Macaca fascicularis: one gene and its partners. The protein of the gene in region 3 purifies or fractionates together with the protein of the main gene of each other region. This does not show direct contact. Links are inferred from orthologs where the notes say so. Each region holds a gene or a part of one and is shown on either strand. Other genes may lie near its edges.

Region 1 (5,813 bases), on a different chromosome or scaffold from region 3:
TTAAATGTGGAATATGTGGGAAGTCATGCAATGCACAGGACTGCAGGATTCTGATATCTTATTTAACTCTCAGATTCTATTCAACTCAATAAATCTTGACTGTGCTTCTACTAAATGTAGGTATTGTGCTAGGAGCTGAGGACACCAAACTGATGAAGTCCTTGCTGTCAAGAAACTCACATGATTCCCTAATTCTTTGTCAGCTTGCTGTGATCATATTTGCTTCCCAAGAACCTCTAAGAAATGCCTAGTGGATAGAACCTTGGAGTTCCACGGAACATATTAACAATCGTCAAATGATGACTCAGGCTAGATTGTGTAATTCAGGTTTTGTCTGCAAAACTGAAAATGCTTTGGTAACCTACCTAAATTTCAATGTTGAGGAATTCTTTAAGAAACACATCAAATGTGAAGATTTAAGGCACAGACACGAGATACATAAGCATTCTTCGGTGAATTATGCACTGACCATGACCATTTCTTTACTCAAAGGTTGTCCCTGGCTGACAACGCAGTTAAAAAATGAGTGCAAAATGACAACTCAAATATATGAACCAGAAAAACCTATCACTTTTCTTTTCTACCAAATTAAGATCAAGAGAGCTGGAGAATATTTTGTCTAGAGTGATAAAAACATAAGGGTGCAAAACTCCCAGGTGACCTTTGCAAAAAATTACTTCTGTGACCTTTGGCTGTACAGCAACCTTAATAATGCAAGCACTGTTTTGAATGCAAGCATGTGGGAGCCGTTTTCACCACTTTTGGTGACTTCAGTAGGTTTAAGAAATGTTTTTGCATTTATTGCATAAACCATAAAACAAAGGAAGGGACTTTTGAACTACTCAGTGAGAGTCTATATATTAAAGTTTGTTTTTCAAAATGTGTAACTACCATTTGCAGTTTTAAAGGTCTGCTTTCCACCTGCAAGTTGCCATTATCTCAAAGGTGAAATTTTAGCATATGACTAAAAACTTCCTATAGTTACGGCTTCATGATTCAGCATCTAACATCAATAATTCACAGTGAGATCACACAGGAGGCTCTCTGTGGAAGGTAGTGACATACATACGTTAGGAAAGGAAGCTTAGGGCATATCAAGAGCATTTTGAATTTAGACTTGTGGGCTGTGTGGGTGTCAGATGGTTGTCTCTCGACTGGTGGGCGTCCAGAAGGATCCTTGTTTGGGCAAGGCTCTTTGAGAAAGGAGAATCTGGGTTGCCAGGGATTCCCACATGTGGTCACCAGCTCCCCACGCAGACCAGCTCACGATTTCCCAGTTACAGCGGGCAGGTGGGAAACCGTTCTGCATTCTGTGGAAAAGACTCCAACTTGGTTCCCTGCCATCCCTGAATACAAACGGGTTGGTTTTTCTTTTTTGAGCTTCCAACCCTTGCAGCTTTCCAAAAATAAATCAAACCAGCCATCAGGGCACCGAAATAATACTACTGCTAATAAGCAGCTTCGCCTAGACTTAGATAAACAACACTTCTGAGGTAAACTTTGCCCCAGAGGTCTGGAGACACTTTTTTAATGTAAACTGCTTACTAATAATTACTAGACTTAGGTGCATTAACCCTGGAAATAGATTTTAATAGCCACCCCTTAAAACAAAAGGCATGAAACGATAATAAGAAAAAAGTGCCGCGACTATTATAAAAAAACACTTGGCAGCCTGCTTCAGCCCAAGCTAAGGCTACCTCCCGCCTCTGCTGAAGCCCTCCACTCCCAGTGGTCCCCGCCAACCGGATAAGAGAGCGCGCGGGACCCGCCTTCCTCTCTCTGCACCGCCCCCGTCCCCGCCCCCGCCCCCGCCCCCTCGGCTCGCCTCCCGCGTGGCTCCTCCCTTTTCCGCTCCTCTCAACCTGACTCCAGGAGCTAGGGTCAAATTGCCGGAGCAGGCTGATTTGCATAGCCCAATGGCCAAGATGCATGCAAATGAGGCGGAAGGTGGTTGGCTGAGGGTTGGCAGGATAACGCCGACGAGCGGGGCCCTTTGTCCTCCAGTGGCTGGTAAGCAGTGGCTGCGAGGCAGCTGCCCAATTAGTGTCGTGAGGCCGGTGGCGAGGCGAGGGCCGGAGAGCGAGCGAACGAGCAAGCGGGGCGGGAGGGGTGGCCGAAGCTGCGGCGGCTGGCACAGGAGGAGGAGCCCGGGCGGGCGTGGGGCAGCCGGACAGCGCCGGGGCCTGAGCTCCCGGCGCGGCGCCTGTGAGTGAGTGCAGAAAGCAGGCGCTGGCGCGCTCGCCGTGGCAGGAGCAGCCCGCACGCCGCGCTCTCTCCGTGGGCGACCTGCAGTTTGCAATATGACTTTGGAGGAATTCTCGGCTGGAGAGCAGAAGACCGAAAGGTAAATCGGCCTGCGGACTCTTCCGGCCCGAACTTCTCTCACCTACCCCGCGCTCCCGGGTGCAGGCGGGCTGTGGAAGGTTTGCAGGGGAGGAAGCAGAAAAGTTTGCACAGGGCAACTCCCGCCCTTGCTCCCTCGGGACTCTCCGTGTAGCGTCCGCGGACTGAAAGAGCATGCCCCGCAACCCGAACGAGCCCCGCCGGGGCCTTTGCAAAGGGCAGCAGTGGCCGTCGCTGCCCTTGCGGCTCCTGGGGCTAGCAGCCTGTGGCAGGGGCACTCTCGGGACTTCTCATGGGACGCCCGGTCCTTGGGCGTGCAGGGGTCATGGGGGGTGACGGGGCCGCGGGAGCGCCGGGTTTTCGGAGAGCCCAGGTGCGCGGTGGTGCTTGCATTCGAGAGGGAGGGGCGTGGTGCCGGGCAATGGGGGCGGCGATGGGCCCGAGGGCACCGGGGCTGACGGGACCCCTCGCCCTTGCCCGCGTGTAGGATGGATAAGGTGGGGGATGCCCTGGAGGAAGTGCTCAGCAAAGCCCTGAGTCAGCGCACGATCACTGTCGGGGTGTACGAAGCGGCCAAACTGCTCAACGTGTAAGTGGGGCCCTTGCGCGTCTCCCGTGGCACCCCTTCCCGCCCTAGCCCGGGAGGTCGCCTTGGCTGGGCGCCCCTCGCCCGGCCGCGCCACTTCCTGTCGCTTTTCTTCTGCCCCCGCGGCTGCCTGTCCCGGAGGGGAGGGGGCGAGCTGGCCGGGCGGCGACCCCCGGAGACCCAGGCAGGGGTTGAGGGCGTCCGCGGTTCTGCGCTCACTGGCCCCGCCCGCTGCCCCCAGCGACCCCGATAACGTGGTGTTGTGCCTGCTGGCGGCGGACGAGGACGACGACCGAGATGTGGCTCTGCAGATCCACTTCACCCTGATCCAGGCGTTCTGCTGCGAGAACGACATCAACATCCTGCGCGTCAGCAACCCGGGCCGGCTGGCGGAGCTCCTGCTCTTGGAGACCGACGCTGGCCCCGCGGCGACCGAGGGCGCCGAGCAGCCCCCGGACCTGCACTGCGTGCTGGTGACGGTAAGGGGCAGGGGGACTGCAGCCTGCGGGGTAGAGCCCCGGAAGGACGGGAGTCAGGGCTGGGTCGCCTGATTGTGGATCTGGGGTAGGTTTGGGTCAGGAGGGTGCTGCCTTTGCCCCACGAGAGTGTGGCTGGACTTTCAGCCGAGATGTACTAGTTTCATCATCAGGATAATCTGTGGTACAGAACATGTCTAAGCATGCTGGGGACTGCCAGCAGCGGAAGAGATCCCTGTGAGTCAGCAGTCAGCCCAGCTACTCCCTACCTACATCTGCATTGCCTCCCGTGACTAATTCCTTTAGCAGGGCAGATTAGATAAAGCCAAATGAATTCCTGGCTCACCCCTCATTAAGGAGTCAGCTTCATTCTCTGCCAGTCAGAGCTAAAAATAGAAATTGTGTAGGAGACAAACCTTGTTAATTCCCTAGAAATACATTAAGAGGATAGAGTGGAATTTTTTTCTCTGCAATCTTGCATTTTTTTAATGGGCCTTTTTTTTTTTTTTACTCTTCTGATAAAAACCTTTGGTAGGTAGGGAAGTTATGTTTTCAGGGATAAGTGTGCTACTTTTGTCTTCTAAATTTTGCTTTTTGACTGGTCTAGTCAAGTGACAGCCGGATTATTTTGCTACTCCTTAAAAGTACTACTCTGTCTCTTGGGAGTAGAGTTGATGGCAATTCCAGTTAACTGCTGTGCAGCTCTCATCTCATTGTGCACACAGCATGGAAATCTTTCTCAAAACTGTTTCACTCAGGTCAGGGTAACAAGTTTGGTAGAGCAAACCCGTGAATGATACTCTCATGCAAAACTGAACAGATATGCAAACATATGTATGTGGTTCAGCTTGGGTTGCATGGGTTCAGACTTTGCAGTGTGTAGTTTAATAGGTAATTACCCTTAACGATTTTGCACGGAACCCAACTACTTTGAAGAAACTTTAATTTTTTGTGCTTCTAATTTGTCTCCATGTCACGTAGCCAAAATATAGAATGTTCAAGTGTCTTCTCCTCAAAAGTGTAATACTAGCAAATATCGATTTTTTAAAAATAAGTTTATTTTTCTAAATTTGTTTCCAGAATCCACATTCATCTCAATGGAAGGATCCTGCCTTAAGTCAACTTATTTGTTTTTGCCGGGAAAGTCGCTACATGGATCAGTGGGTTCCGGTGATTAATCTCCCTGAACGGTGATGGCATCTGAATGAAAATAACTGAACCAAATTGCACTGAAGTTTTTGAAATACCTTTGTAGTTACTCAAGCAGTTACTCCCTACACTGATGCAAGGATTACAGAAACTGATGTCAAGGGGCTGAGTGAGTTCAACTACATGTTCTGGGGGCCCGGAGATAGATGACTTTGCAGATGGAAAGAGGTGAAAATGAAGAAGGAAGCTGTGTTGAAACAGAAAAATAAGTCAAAAGGAACAAAAATTACAAAGAACCATGCAGGAAGGAAAACTATGTATTAATTTAGAATGGTTGAGTTACATTAAAATAAACCAAATCTGTTAAAGTTTAAAAGTACAGCCATAGTTTGGGTATTTTTGGTTTATATGCCCTCAAGTAAAAGAAAAGCCTAAAGGGTTAATCATATTTGAAAACCATATTTTATTGTATTTTGATGAGATATTAAATTCTCAAAGTTTTATTATAAATTCTACTAAGTTATTTTATGACATGAAAAGTTATTTATGCTATAAATTTTTTTGAAACACAATACCTACAATAAACTGGTATGAATAATTGCATCATTTCCTATTGTGTGCTCTTGTTTCTTTTAACTCGTACTTTTTAAAACATTTTACTGACGCTCTGCTCTATACCAGGTCTATAGTCAGAAAGCACATGACTTAAAGGAGTTGGAGTTAGGAAAAAGGGATGGTTAGAGATTCAGCTTGCAAAATTTGAATAATTAAAGATCAATGATAGTAGTGCCAAAATAAGATTATACACAAAAGGTTGAGGAGGCAGAGAGGACAGAGTGACCAAAGCTACCTACCAGTTTTTATTGAAGAGAGATCATTTTATGTTGGTCTTAGTTTTATTTCCCTAGTTACAGAGGGCAAAGGGATATTGCTAGCAGCTGCACTAGTTTGTGCAAAGGTGTGGAGGCCTGAAATACCACAACCAGGTCAGTAAAAACAGAGTGATTCTGTGTGTGCCTCTGGTGTAGAAAGATAAGGGAGCGACAGGGCTGAGAAGGAAGGTGGGGATTAGGCCCAGGCTGTGAAGGGCATTCTGTGTCACCCTTATGCATTTGGGCTTCCTTCTGTAAACTTCAGGCAGATAGCGGAGCCCTTGAAGGAAGTGGCATGATCAGTGTTCTAGGAAATTAACACCAGGGTCTGTGAAAGATGATAATTGGGATGAGCAGCTGTAGGTGACAAGGCCAATTAGGAAGTGA
Region 2 (5,801 bases), on a different chromosome or scaffold from region 3:
AGCCCCGGCGATGAAGTGAGACTGTCTCAAAAGAAAGAAAAAGAAAAGCCATAACTTTTGCAGGCCGCCACTAGATCGACCCTTGCCCCACCTGGTCCTTCCCTTCTTGGGTTTTGGCCCCCCATGTTCTCCCGCAGCCCAATCGCTCAAGAGCCCCTCGCCCTCTGTACCCCTTCCCAGGCGCCCTCCCCTCTTGGACACCATCTCAGGGATCCCCACCCCATCATCCCCTACTCCCTCGGGGCTCCCGCCTCTTCGCCTCCATTCCCCCCTCCTCCAACCCCTTCGGGACTCCTGCTGCCTGTCTACCCCCTCCCGGGGTTTCCCTGTTGGTTCAGGGCTGTGGGGGATTCCCCTTCCCCTTCTGGGCTCCCCTTTCCCCACTTCAGTTCTCCCCTCCTCCTAGCCCCAGGCGGGATCCCCTCCCCCCTCCCCCCTTCTCCCTCTGGGACTTCCCCCTCCCTCTCTCGCCCTCCCCCGCCGGGGCTCCCCCGATTCCCGTGACTCCCAGGGAGCCGCTGGGGTTTTCCTCATGCGCCCACGTGAGGCTCCGTGGAAAGGTCGCGGCCTGCGGGCAGGACCACCCCACCCTCTCCACACTCCTCCTTAGTTCTCAGGCTTGGGGCTGCATGGCAGAGGGGAGCCAAGGTCGTCCCTGCGCCCGGCCAGGGCGGGCCCATCCTGCAGACCCGGGGCGGGAAGACTGAGGCCGGGCACGGAAGGGCTGGGCCACGCTCCCAGCCTGGGGCAGGGGGAGTCACCACCGCGCCTGCAACTTTGGGAGAAGTAGGAGGTGGCTGGCCAGGGCTCGCAGTTTCGGTTTAGAGGCAAAACGCAGCACTGTGCCAAGGCCAGCTGGCCCGGAGGCCGACTTCCTGGGGTATTTTTCTGCTTGTTGATTTTAGTTTGCGGAAAAAAAAAAAAAAAAAAAGTTCTTTTCTTTAGTGCAAAAGAGAGGCCTATCCTGGGATGGAGACGGCTGTGGTGGGTGCGGGGCACTCCCTGCGGAATCCTCCAAAGGAGCTCTTCCTTGCAAGTCCTGAGCTCACCTCGCTGTGTGGTCCCAGGTGCCCCATTGACCGCTCTGGACCTTGGGCTGCGGTGGCGGCCGCCGGGGCGGTCAGGGGCTGCAGCCAGCACCCCCTCCCGCCGAAATGCCTCCATATGTGCCCAGAGCTTAGGGCTGGCTCCTGCACAGCCAGTAACAGCGGTGGCACGGCGGCCAGGTTTCGTAATAAACCGGTCTCTTAATTGCTACAGGGTAGGAGGAGAGGAAAAAAAAAAAAAAAAAGAGGCATAGATTTGTTGGAGTCGGTGGAGGCGCCTGCTGCAGAGAAGAGGTACTGTTTTGCACGGGAGCCTGGAGCTGCTAACAGGGGCTTGAGTAACACTTCCTGGTGAGCTGGCAGGGGTTGCGGAGGAGAGGTGGGGAGGGGGGGTGTGAAGCGTGTCCCAGGGGAGGGGGCAGGGGTCCCGGTTGTTCTCAGAAGCCGAAAACATACAAGCACCCAGAAGCTTTAGAAATTTATTACAAGGTCATCAGAGTAGAAATAAAAATATAGATATCTGTGCTTCCCATCTCGCTCTCAGTGGTTCGAGTAACAAGTGCAAGTAACAAAATAGATTGTCTCTATGATTCGCAAACTGGGAGTTCATGGGTACAGAGCAACTTCGGCCCCAGCTCCCAAGTCCCAAAGTGTGGTCTTGTCGAGGGTGCAGACAAGCACCAACCAAGTTCAACCAGGTCTCTAGTCTGCAGACGCCAGCTCCAGTCTCAAGGAGGGTGGGGGTTGCAGTCAGTCTCACTCCACCCTCAAGTGGAGAGTCTGGACCTTCCATGATAGGGAAGGCGGCAGCGTGCCCCGCCCCTCCAGCTTCTGCTCCATCCCAAGGCCTGAGCTCCGGGGTCCTGTCTCCTGCTGGCCTGGGTCCCCACTTCTCCTCCATCGGATCGGCGGCCGCCAGCTCCCCGATCTCCGCCCTGGGGGCGGCCACTCACTCCCCTTCTCCTCCTCCTCCTCCTCTTCAGTCTCCAACGACTCTGCCCCCGATGGTTTCGTGGGTTGGGTTGTTTTGGGGGGGTTGTGCTGGGGGGGAGGGGGGTTCAAATATTTATTTTATTTTTTGTTTTTGGCAGCAACTCAACAGGTTCTGCTGCTGGGAAGGGCCTCAGCGTTCCTGAAGAGAGATGTAGGGCACCCACTGGTTGTTGCCCCGGCTTTCTTCGCAGTAGCTGGCTACCTCCACCAAGCCGTGGCTCTTCCAGGCGTCCGTGTGAGGGTTCTGTGGGAGGGGAAAAGAAAGGGTTTAGTGGGAGCCTCCCTCTCCCAGGGCCCCATGTGTGGGGAAAACAGGCAGGCTCAAAATAGCTCCCTGGGTGAGGAGGCCCCAGCCCGGCTGCCCACGGGACATGCCAAGCATGGTTGAACCCTGAGCTGTGCAGGACCAGTCAGCCCGACTTTGTTGACAAACACCAGCCCAGGTGCCCGGGCGTGGCAGGTCAGGGCAGAGGCCCAACTCACCGTGACCAGGAGACAATGCAGGTCTCGGGCCTCAGTGGTGCCCTGGGTCTCGGCCGGCTCTCCCAGGAGCTGTGCCAGGCGCTGCATGCCCGACACCCGCATGATGTTAATGTCGTTGTCGCAGCAGAAGGACTGGATGAGCGTGAAGTGGATTTGCAGGGCGATGTCATCCTCCTCCTCCTCGTCAATGGCCAAGAGGCAGAGGACCACGCTGTCTGGGTCCCTGAGGGGGCCAAAGGGAAGGGGTGGGTCAGCCGGGAACAGGGGAGAGGCCACCGTGCAGGGGGAGTTTGCAAAAAAAGGAGCGTGCAAGAGCAAAAGAGAAACTGCAGGGGTGCAGGGGATTGCCTCTGCAAGCTGGTGACGGTGGGGGGCGGGGAAGGCACACGGTTCAAAGTGTGGGGTGTGGGGAGACAGGCCCACAGCGGGAGGGGCGCTTGCAGACGATGCATCAGGATACGGCAGCCCCCAATCCACAAAACAGCAGAGGAGCTCTGCATCCACAGCGGGTGGCACTTGGGGAAGTCCCAGCCCCATGCGAGACAAGCGTGTGGAAAGCGTCCAGAGCGGAGGGGAGGTCCCGTCCCACCCGCGCCCGGCCCGGGGAGGGGGTCTGACTCACACATTCATCAACTTGGCCGACTCGTACACCCCCACTGTGAGGCGATCCTGGCGCTGAGCGGCCACCAACAGCTCCTCCACCGCGGCGGTCACCGTCTGCATCCTGAGGCCAGGAGAGAGGGATCAGTGACGGGCGGACCACCGGGTGCTACATTCCGCTCCCGGCCCGGCCCAACCCGACCCATCCCGTCCCGGCCAACCTCAGACGGCGGCGGTCCCGGCTACTTACTTCTGCGCCGCGTTGTCGCACGCCACGAGCTCTTCCAGCGTCATGTTGCAATTATAATCCACAGTGGACGCGGCTCCACGACAGTCCCCAGGGAGAAATTGCAAAATCCGCGCCAGAGAGCCCAAAACCTTCCCACGGAGCTGGAGCGCTCGTCCAAGACCTTCGGGAAGCAGCGAAATCCTTCCAGAAAAGGCGGAAAAAAATGTTGCAAAGTCCTTGGCGAAAATAATCCGGGAAGTTGCAGAAACCAACCGTAGTCCGAAGCCTCGGCGATCTGAGCCGGGAGCCTCCGGCACCGACTTTTATAGACTTGACGGCTGGGGCGAGGCCTCAGTGGAGTCATTCAACCCTCCTATTGGTGGAAGGACAACGGAGAGTGCAGACAGCTCTGCGGTTGGCCGACGGCGGCGAGGGGGCGGAGCGCCGTGTGGGGGCGCCCCACGTGGGGGCGAGAACCGGGAGGAGGGCGCGCGGGGGCCGGGTAGGTGACCGCGAATGCCAGAAAAGAAAAAAAAAAGCAGAAGTTTTTTTCTCCTGATTTCCCGGCAGCCGAGCCGCGGTTCGGGGCGCGCGCGGGATTTCCAGCGCGCGAGGCGGCCCGGACTTTCGCCGGGGGGGGGCCTGGAATCCCCTCCCGCTGCGCGGAGAGTCCCGGACTGCTCCTTTCCCAAGTTCTGCTGGGGGTGGAGGGGCTGCACCGGGAAAGGGCCCCGTTCGCAGCCTGATCTCGCCCAGGTGGTGGTGATGACCGGAGTCTCTCCTGGCTGCGGCGACCCCAGCCCCTGGGTGATTTCGCTTTTCCCGGCCTCTATATTCCTGTCTGAGTAATGGGGCTGCAGCGCCGGCCTCGCTGGTTTGCAGAGCATCACATAAAATACGGCTGACAGTAAGCGCTCAATACACATCATCTGTCACCTGGTGGTCGCGGGAGGCCTCCTCCAGGGCCCCGAAAGTGGGAGGTTGCAAAGCCCGGGGCACTCTGGAGAAGAAAGCGGGCGCCCCCTCGCCGACCCCGCGAGTTTCAGGGTGGGGCGCGCGTGGGAGGTGCAGGTGGCGTGGCCCCGCCCCCGCCAGCTGCCTGGCGTTCCAGGCTTTGCGCGTGCGGAGGCCTCCAGGCCGAGGAGAAAGCCATTGTTGGGGGGAATGGTGCAGGCTGCGGCTGCACGCCGCTACCCCAGGCCCACGTGCAAGGATGACGGCCACCTTTATTTCTCACTCCGGGGTGGGCGCTGACCTGCACTGAGCGTGGTGCGGATCTGGCACCCTCCACCCCTCCCGATTCATGGATGATTTAATCCAAGACCTGAGAAGCAGGGGGGATGCTTATGTGCATTATGCAAAAGGGTAAACTGAGGCTTGGTGAGGCCACAGGCTAGTTCGTGTTGGAGCCACGCCTGTGCGCCAGGCACGGCCGCCTGCAGGACTCCGCCGCCCCAGGAAGGCTGCTTAGGAACGAGGCGGGCAGGCCCCGCATGACAACGTCTCCCACGGTCGACTGGGGGCTCCCGGGTGACTCACGTCTGAGTCCCCTCCCCCGCCAGCCTGGGTTCTGGCCTCGGCCCTGCGGCTCGGTTTCCCCGGTTCCCCGGCTCCCCGGCCCGCGAGCCCAGCTGACGCATCCCGCCTTCTCCGCGCCGCCCACCGCTGGGGCACGAAATGTCCCGGGGCTGCGAGGCGCGGCGGCGCCATCTGGTGGCCGCGCAGAGTTTCTGCGCCCTCAGCGCCGGAAGAGAGGGACGGACGGGCGGGGCACTGGGCTGGAGGCGGGGGATAAGGGGACCGTGGCAGTTGCAACGTTTCATATAATTTTATATATGCAATGTTTTACGCAGGCAACATATATATTTATATTTTAAAATTTAATTTTAAAAATTAAATCGGCCGGGAGCGGTGGATCACGCCTGTAATCCCAGCACTTTGGGAGTCCTAGGCGGGCAGATCAACTGAGGTCAGGAGTTCCAGACCAGCCTGACCAATACGGCCAAATTGAGCTGAAGATAGGGGAGGTCAGGGAGGTGAGTGGGATAAGTGCAAAGTCAGATTCTGTCTTTATTTACAATTTTGATATTTTGTTCCCTCACGCTGGGATTACAGGCGTGAGCCACCGCGCCCGGCCTGATTTTTGTTTTTAAAAAGTATTGCAGGCTGGGTAATCCCAGCACATTAAGAGGCCAAGGAGAGCAGATCATGAGGTCAGGAGTTCGAGACCAGCCTGACCAACATGGTGAAACCCCGTCTCTACTAAAAGCACAAAAATTAGCTGGGCATGGTGGCGCGTGCCTGTAATCCCAGCTACTCAGGAGGCTGAGGCAGGAGAATGGATTGAACCTAGGAGATGGAGGTTTCAGTGAGCTGAGATCATGCCACTGCACATGGCATGGTGACAGAGAGAGATTCCATCTCAAAACAAAAGGCCGGGCACGGTGGCT
Region 3 (5,341 bases):
TTAGAAGGGCCAGGGTTTACAAACTAGACATTGATTTAGTTGAACACTAATGTTACAAAAGGAAAAAAATATCTTACTCTGCTATGAGGAGTACTTTAAATTTCTCAGCATTATCATTACATGAAAAATATTTAAGAACCTCAGCCGGGCACGGTGGCTCAAGCCTGTAATCTCAGCACTTTGGGAGGCCGAGACGGGCGGATCACGAGGTCAGCAGATCGAGACCACCCTGGCTAACACGGTGAAACCCCGTCTCTACTAAAAAATACAAAAAACTAGCCGGGCGAGGTGGCGGGCGCCTGTAGTCCCAGCAACTCGGGAGACTGAGGCAGGAGAATGGCATGAACCCGGGAGGCGGAGCTTGCAGTGAGCCGAAATCCGGCCACTACACTCCAGCCTGGGTGACACAGCGAGACTCTGTCTCAAAAAAAAAAAAAAAAGAACGATTATTACATATAAAACATACTCAACCAGAAAATGAAGAGTGACTGGCTTATTTTATAATGAAAAAAACTGTAGAATATTCCATACCAAGAAGTCATCTTCTGGTAAAGCTGAAATAAAGGCAGGTTCAATTGCTTGTAGAAAATCAAATCCTTGAGTCGCCCACCTGGTACATGAAAAAGTTCGGCAATCACAAACAACCAAGAAAATGCTGTAGCAGTTTTAGACTGTACAATACTGAAAAGTAACATAATTATAATTACTATTTATGACAAAACACCTTTTTTTTTTTTTTTTTTTTTGCCTGGGTTCAGTAAGTTTACAGTGTGACCTAATTTTTTAAAATTTAATTTTGTTTTGAAACCAATAGGAAGCATGGAAGAGGATTTTAGACATGATAGGTGCCATCTGTAATTCAACAATTATTTATTTGTAATTCAACAATTATTTATGAGTTTTGTAACACAAAGTTCCCACTGGAGTCTCAGGCACAGCAAATGTGTTTTCTCTAACTTAGAGAAATTGCTTAATGACTTTTAAAAAGTGCCCCACGCTACCCCTCCATTACAAATTACAGAACACTCAGCTATTTTTCACACAGTCATGACACTTTAATAACTATGTTTACTTTAGTGGAGCTACTATTGAGCCTCACAGATGATTCACCCATTTCACCCCTGCAAATTCCAAAACGGTTTCTTAATGAATAAATTTCATGAAGGAGGAAAAAACATTAGTCATCAGGAAGACTTGTCAAAGGAGAACATGAGTTCCCTTAAAGACAACTCCAATTTGGAACAAATTTTTAAAAAAATTTTTTCCCAAGAATTATGCAGTTTTCTCTGTATATTTTTCCATTAAAAAAAAAAAAACAAAACCTGATCACCAAAGAGTTTAGGGTGCTCCCTTCTGTGTCATCTGCTCAAAAAAAATCCCATAGGACATATATGAACAAATACTCCCAACCCCACATGACATATTTCAGAAACATCCTACTTGGTCATTACCTGGGTCTTGTACCTCTACCACTCTCACATTTAGTCAGGACATAATTCATCCACTTCCGGGCAAAGCTTATATATTTGTCTCCTATCTTCTGTCTAAACTCCCCAGACATCAAACGAACAACTTCTTTATGATACTGTAAGAAGATTTCAGGTATATCAAAATTAAGAAAATGATCATTAAATAATGCCACCCACTATAATGTCATGTCTGTTTAAAATGTTTTCTAAAAACAAAAAGTGAAATCCAATTAAAATTTCTATATTTTGAATATTATGAAGAATTATGGAAAGTATAGTGTTTCAATATGCAGTTTCATAAATGTTTCACTCCTGAGTTTAAATTAAGAATGTGCTTTCATGATATAAAACATCTCTTTAAAGTTTTAAAATGTTAAGTAGTTGGCTGTTGGCACAAAACAAAAGTCGGACAACTACCTAACAGTTTAAAAGTACAGTAACATCTCCGATATACAGCAGTGATATAAGATGGTATTCTTGATTTCGCTGTGATTACAGTATCAGATTTACTGTAAAAGGTTCCTAAAACTTTCTGTAAGTTATCAAGCAATTACTAAACTGTAGTGTGTGTTTCCTCTTATTTTGAACCTACCTCAAATCCAAAATTGTACCCCTGAATCATTGCTTCTCGGTAGTACTGTTGCAAGGTGACAGATTCGGATTCATCAACTTCAGCATCGAATTCTGATGTGAACATGTGGTCCACGCGGTCAATGGCATTGCTTATTCTGTTGCATAGCTCTAATGCATCATTCTAAAGAGTCCAAACCAGGATTAATGCAAAACGAAGCAAATCATACAATACTTACCACATTTTAAAGAAAGATTTCGTTCATCATCATCACAGACATTAACCACTACAAAACAATTCAGCCACTTTTAGTTATCAAAAGGAATTACCAAATATAGAAGAAATTATGTCATTTTATTTGGCATTCTTAAATAGAAGAGAAAAAATGCATTTAAAATGATACAGTCTAGTTGTAATCTGCTCTTGGAATAGATGCTTTTATCTTCAATATTTTTATACATCAACCACCTGTTGTTTTCTCCCCTTGGACGGTTGCTCAACCATAAGTACGGGTGCAATTCCACAGAGTGAAAAAGCCCACGTACTTCTAGATGACCTCCACAGTGTCCTCGAATCAGGCTGTCCTCATTTCCCTGCTACTTCCTAGTCCAGGGGTTCTCTTCTGGGGTGGATTTTTCGCCCTCCCCTCAGCGTCTGGAGACGTTGTCCAGAGAAGTTTTAGACTGTCAAAATTTGGAGGAAAAAGTGGAATCTACAGGGATATGGTAAGTAGAGGCCAGGAATGTTGCTAAACGTCCTGGAATGCACAGGACGGACCTCCACAACAAAGAATTACCGGCCCAAATGTCCACACTGAAGAGGCTGAGAAGCCCTGCCCTAGCTCGAGCTTTCATCACCTCTGTCGTCAACACAATAGCTCCAAATTGGTCTCCCTTTCTACCCTTACACATGAGTGCATACAAGGTCTCCATCAGGCAATCCCCTTACTATGGTTACAAAATATTCTTCCAGCAATCTATAAAGAGAGATAACCTAAATATTTAGTTAATAAATGTTTATAGATAAATTAGACAAATCAGACTGACAGAAGAAAAACAAATGTTTATGAAATGACTTGTAACTTCAGAGAGTGTTTCTTCTTCAAGAAGTTAAGCCTTAATGCGAGTGAGAAGACGTAACTGATCACCTGCAAAAGTGTGGATGAGATCAAGACTGATACATGGGATACAAAATAGAAAGTGTCAAAAACAGAAAATAATGGAAAAAGACAGCCAGGCTGTGGCTTGTTATAAACTTTGAAAGGCCTTTGTGCTTCTCTGCAACTTTTTTCTATTATGTTTGGTTGATTTATTAAACAAAACAATATATCTTCTATTACACACTACTGATATGGAATACCTCTAGTAAATACTGGAGATTGTGAAAGGAGAATGAAATTTACACTGGGAATGAAGAGACCTATATTCCTAAATTTTCAACTTTGCCACTAGCCAGTCACGTAGTCATCATGAGTAAGTCACATAAAGTTCAATTCTCTATCCTTTCCAATTACAAAGTTCTACAGTTTCAGGAATCTCAGAATCTGTAGTTTAGACGTAAGAAAATATGTATTGGGAAGAGAGGTGCGTGGTGGGCAATTTAAGAGCTCAAGTTCCTTGGATGATATTACCTTACACACATTACCACACACTGACTCTTCCACAGTATTTCAGCAAAAAGGAAAAATCTCAGCTAATGTAGAGAACAGCGTGATACCTTCAGCTGCTGCAAAGCTTTGGCGATGACCGGCTGACTGGATGTCTGCTCCTGGCACAGAGTCATAAGTCCCTCAATGGACTGCTGGAAAGCTTTTCTCTGAATTGTGAGATGGGCAGACTGCATGACAACTAGTAAAAGGTTATCCACCTGGGAGGAAAATCAAGCACAGGACACAAAAACCAACCCAGTTACTAGTTGTTATTCTAGTTCAACACCAGTCCAAAAACAATGCCAATCTCAGGGATACCAGGCCAACAACCATCTGATCAGAAAGTCATTTTTAAGCAAAGCTTCTCCTACATAGCAACACACTTCAGTGGGCATTGACAGCTGGGATATTCAGCACCATGGAGAACAACCCCTTGGGACTGCAGGCATGACATCTTTGAGATATCCTAGAACTTCAAGTGTTGAGTACTGCTAGTGCAGAGTGTGAGTGTGAGTTTGAGTGTGTGTATTGGAGCAGTGTGAAGAAGGAAAATGTAGGAATAAGAGACATCAATTGAAGGGCCTTATATAAAACATTAAGAAATCAAGACTTTATTACTTTTGTTCTTCAAGAGATAAAGAATCCTTGCAGTATTTTAAGTAGATCTGTGATGCAATCAGATGTATTATAATGATCATTCTGGAAGTACAAAAACAAACATAGAATTGGAGAGACAGAAGGTGAGGTTTGAAGCAAGGAAACTCAAAGTAAGAAACTGCAATAGTTCAGGAGAGGGATGGTAAAGTTCTGACTATAGCAGCTGCTCTGGGGATGCAGGGAAAGGATCATTGACTGGAAATACTTCTGGCAAGGTATTAACTGGAAAGGTGGGAGGCTGAATTTATATTAGCTGTCACATTTCTGGTTTAAACATGTGAGTGAACGCGGAACCATTCACTGAGACGGAATATAAAAGCAGAGTTGTTGGGGTGAAGGGACACAGCAGGCCAGTGTATACTCAGTTCTTGTGAGACTGAGCTCAAGGTGCATATGAACACTCACCATGACTGTTCCTAAGCTGAACACAGATAAATGAGAAAGCTTCTCACAGTTTATAACTAATGAGTTACAGAAACTGTCACGAGGTCCCTGTTAGGTAGGGAGGGGACAACCTTCACTACAAAAAGTGAAAATTAAATAATCAGTAAACCTGAATACTTGGAGAACTGGGATTTCTAGAACTACAAATTATATTAGTGACATAATTTCTTTTAGATCATAGCTCCACAGCTGAACTAAGCTGTGGCTGAACTAAGAAAAGATATAAACCAGAAAGATGGTTTATTTCAAATATTCCAGAATAATTTAACTTAACAGAATGATACATTGTACAAATTATGCTGCAAAATTACCTATTAACACATTGAGGCATATTTTTGGGAAGTATATACTTGTGATTACTAGGGTAGCTGCACCCCTCATTCATGAGTGGCTAACAGTTCATTCTTACTAAAAGTCCTTTAAGTAACACTGCTGAGAAGTCGGAGGTGAGATGTACCTGCATGCTTCTCAGGGTGTCAACAGTCTCCACCTGAGGCACGACTTTGACAGGCTGTGCCTCCCACGTGCCCCAGCTGTCCTCTGAATCACGGG

What was found. Proteins that work in one complex are often made in the same cells at the same time.
Region 1: the proteins of MAP3K4 (region 3) and GADD45A purify together in Homo sapiens (co-immunoprecipitation; 3 studies listed by BioGRID and IntAct, with this or other methods). This does not show direct contact. The link is inferred for Macaca fascicularis from reciprocal best matches to the Homo sapiens genes MAP3K4 and GADD45A.
Region 2: the proteins of MAP3K4 (region 3) and GADD45B purify together in Homo sapiens (co-immunoprecipitation; 3 studies listed by BioGRID and IntAct, counting the BioPlex papers as one, with this or other methods). This does not show direct contact. The link is inferred for Macaca fascicularis from reciprocal best matches to the Homo sapiens genes MAP3K4 and GADD45B.

The regions. Positions count from the first base shown.
Region 1 is NC_088375.1:166,988,830-166,994,642, reverse strand, and holds GADD45A (growth arrest and DNA damage-inducible protein GADD45 alpha), read left to right. Parts: upstream 1-2,002; 5' UTR 2,003-2,300; coding exon 2,301-2,344; intron 2,345-2,830; coding exon 2,831-2,932; intron 2,933-3,170; coding exon 3,171-3,408; intron 3,409-4,485; coding exon 4,486-4,599; 3' UTR 4,600-5,162; downstream 5,163-5,813. UniProt on the Homo sapiens protein: In T-cells, functions as a regulator of p38 MAPKs by inhibiting p88 phosphorylation and activity.
Region 2 is NC_088393.1:3,129,790-3,135,590, reverse strand, and holds GADD45B (growth arrest and DNA damage-inducible protein GADD45 beta), read right to left. Parts: upstream 3,649-5,801; 5' UTR 3,417-3,648; coding exon 3,373-3,416; intron 3,247-3,372; coding exon 3,145-3,246; intron 2,746-3,144; coding exon 2,523-2,745; intron 2,284-2,522; coding exon 2,170-2,283; 3' UTR 1,512-2,169; downstream 1-1,511.
Region 3 is NC_088378.1:10,022,289-10,027,629, forward strand, and holds part of MAP3K4 (mitogen-activated protein kinase kinase kinase 4), read right to left. Parts: coding exon 5,247-5,341; intron 3,907-5,246; coding exon 3,757-3,906; intron 2,224-3,756; coding exon 2,062-2,223; intron 1,586-2,061; coding exon 1,452-1,585; intron 611-1,451; coding exon 532-610; intron 1-531. UniProt on the Homo sapiens protein: Component of a protein kinase signal transduction cascade. Activates the CSBP2, P38 and JNK MAPK pathways, but not the ERK pathway. Specifically phosphorylates and activates MAP2K4 and MAP2K6.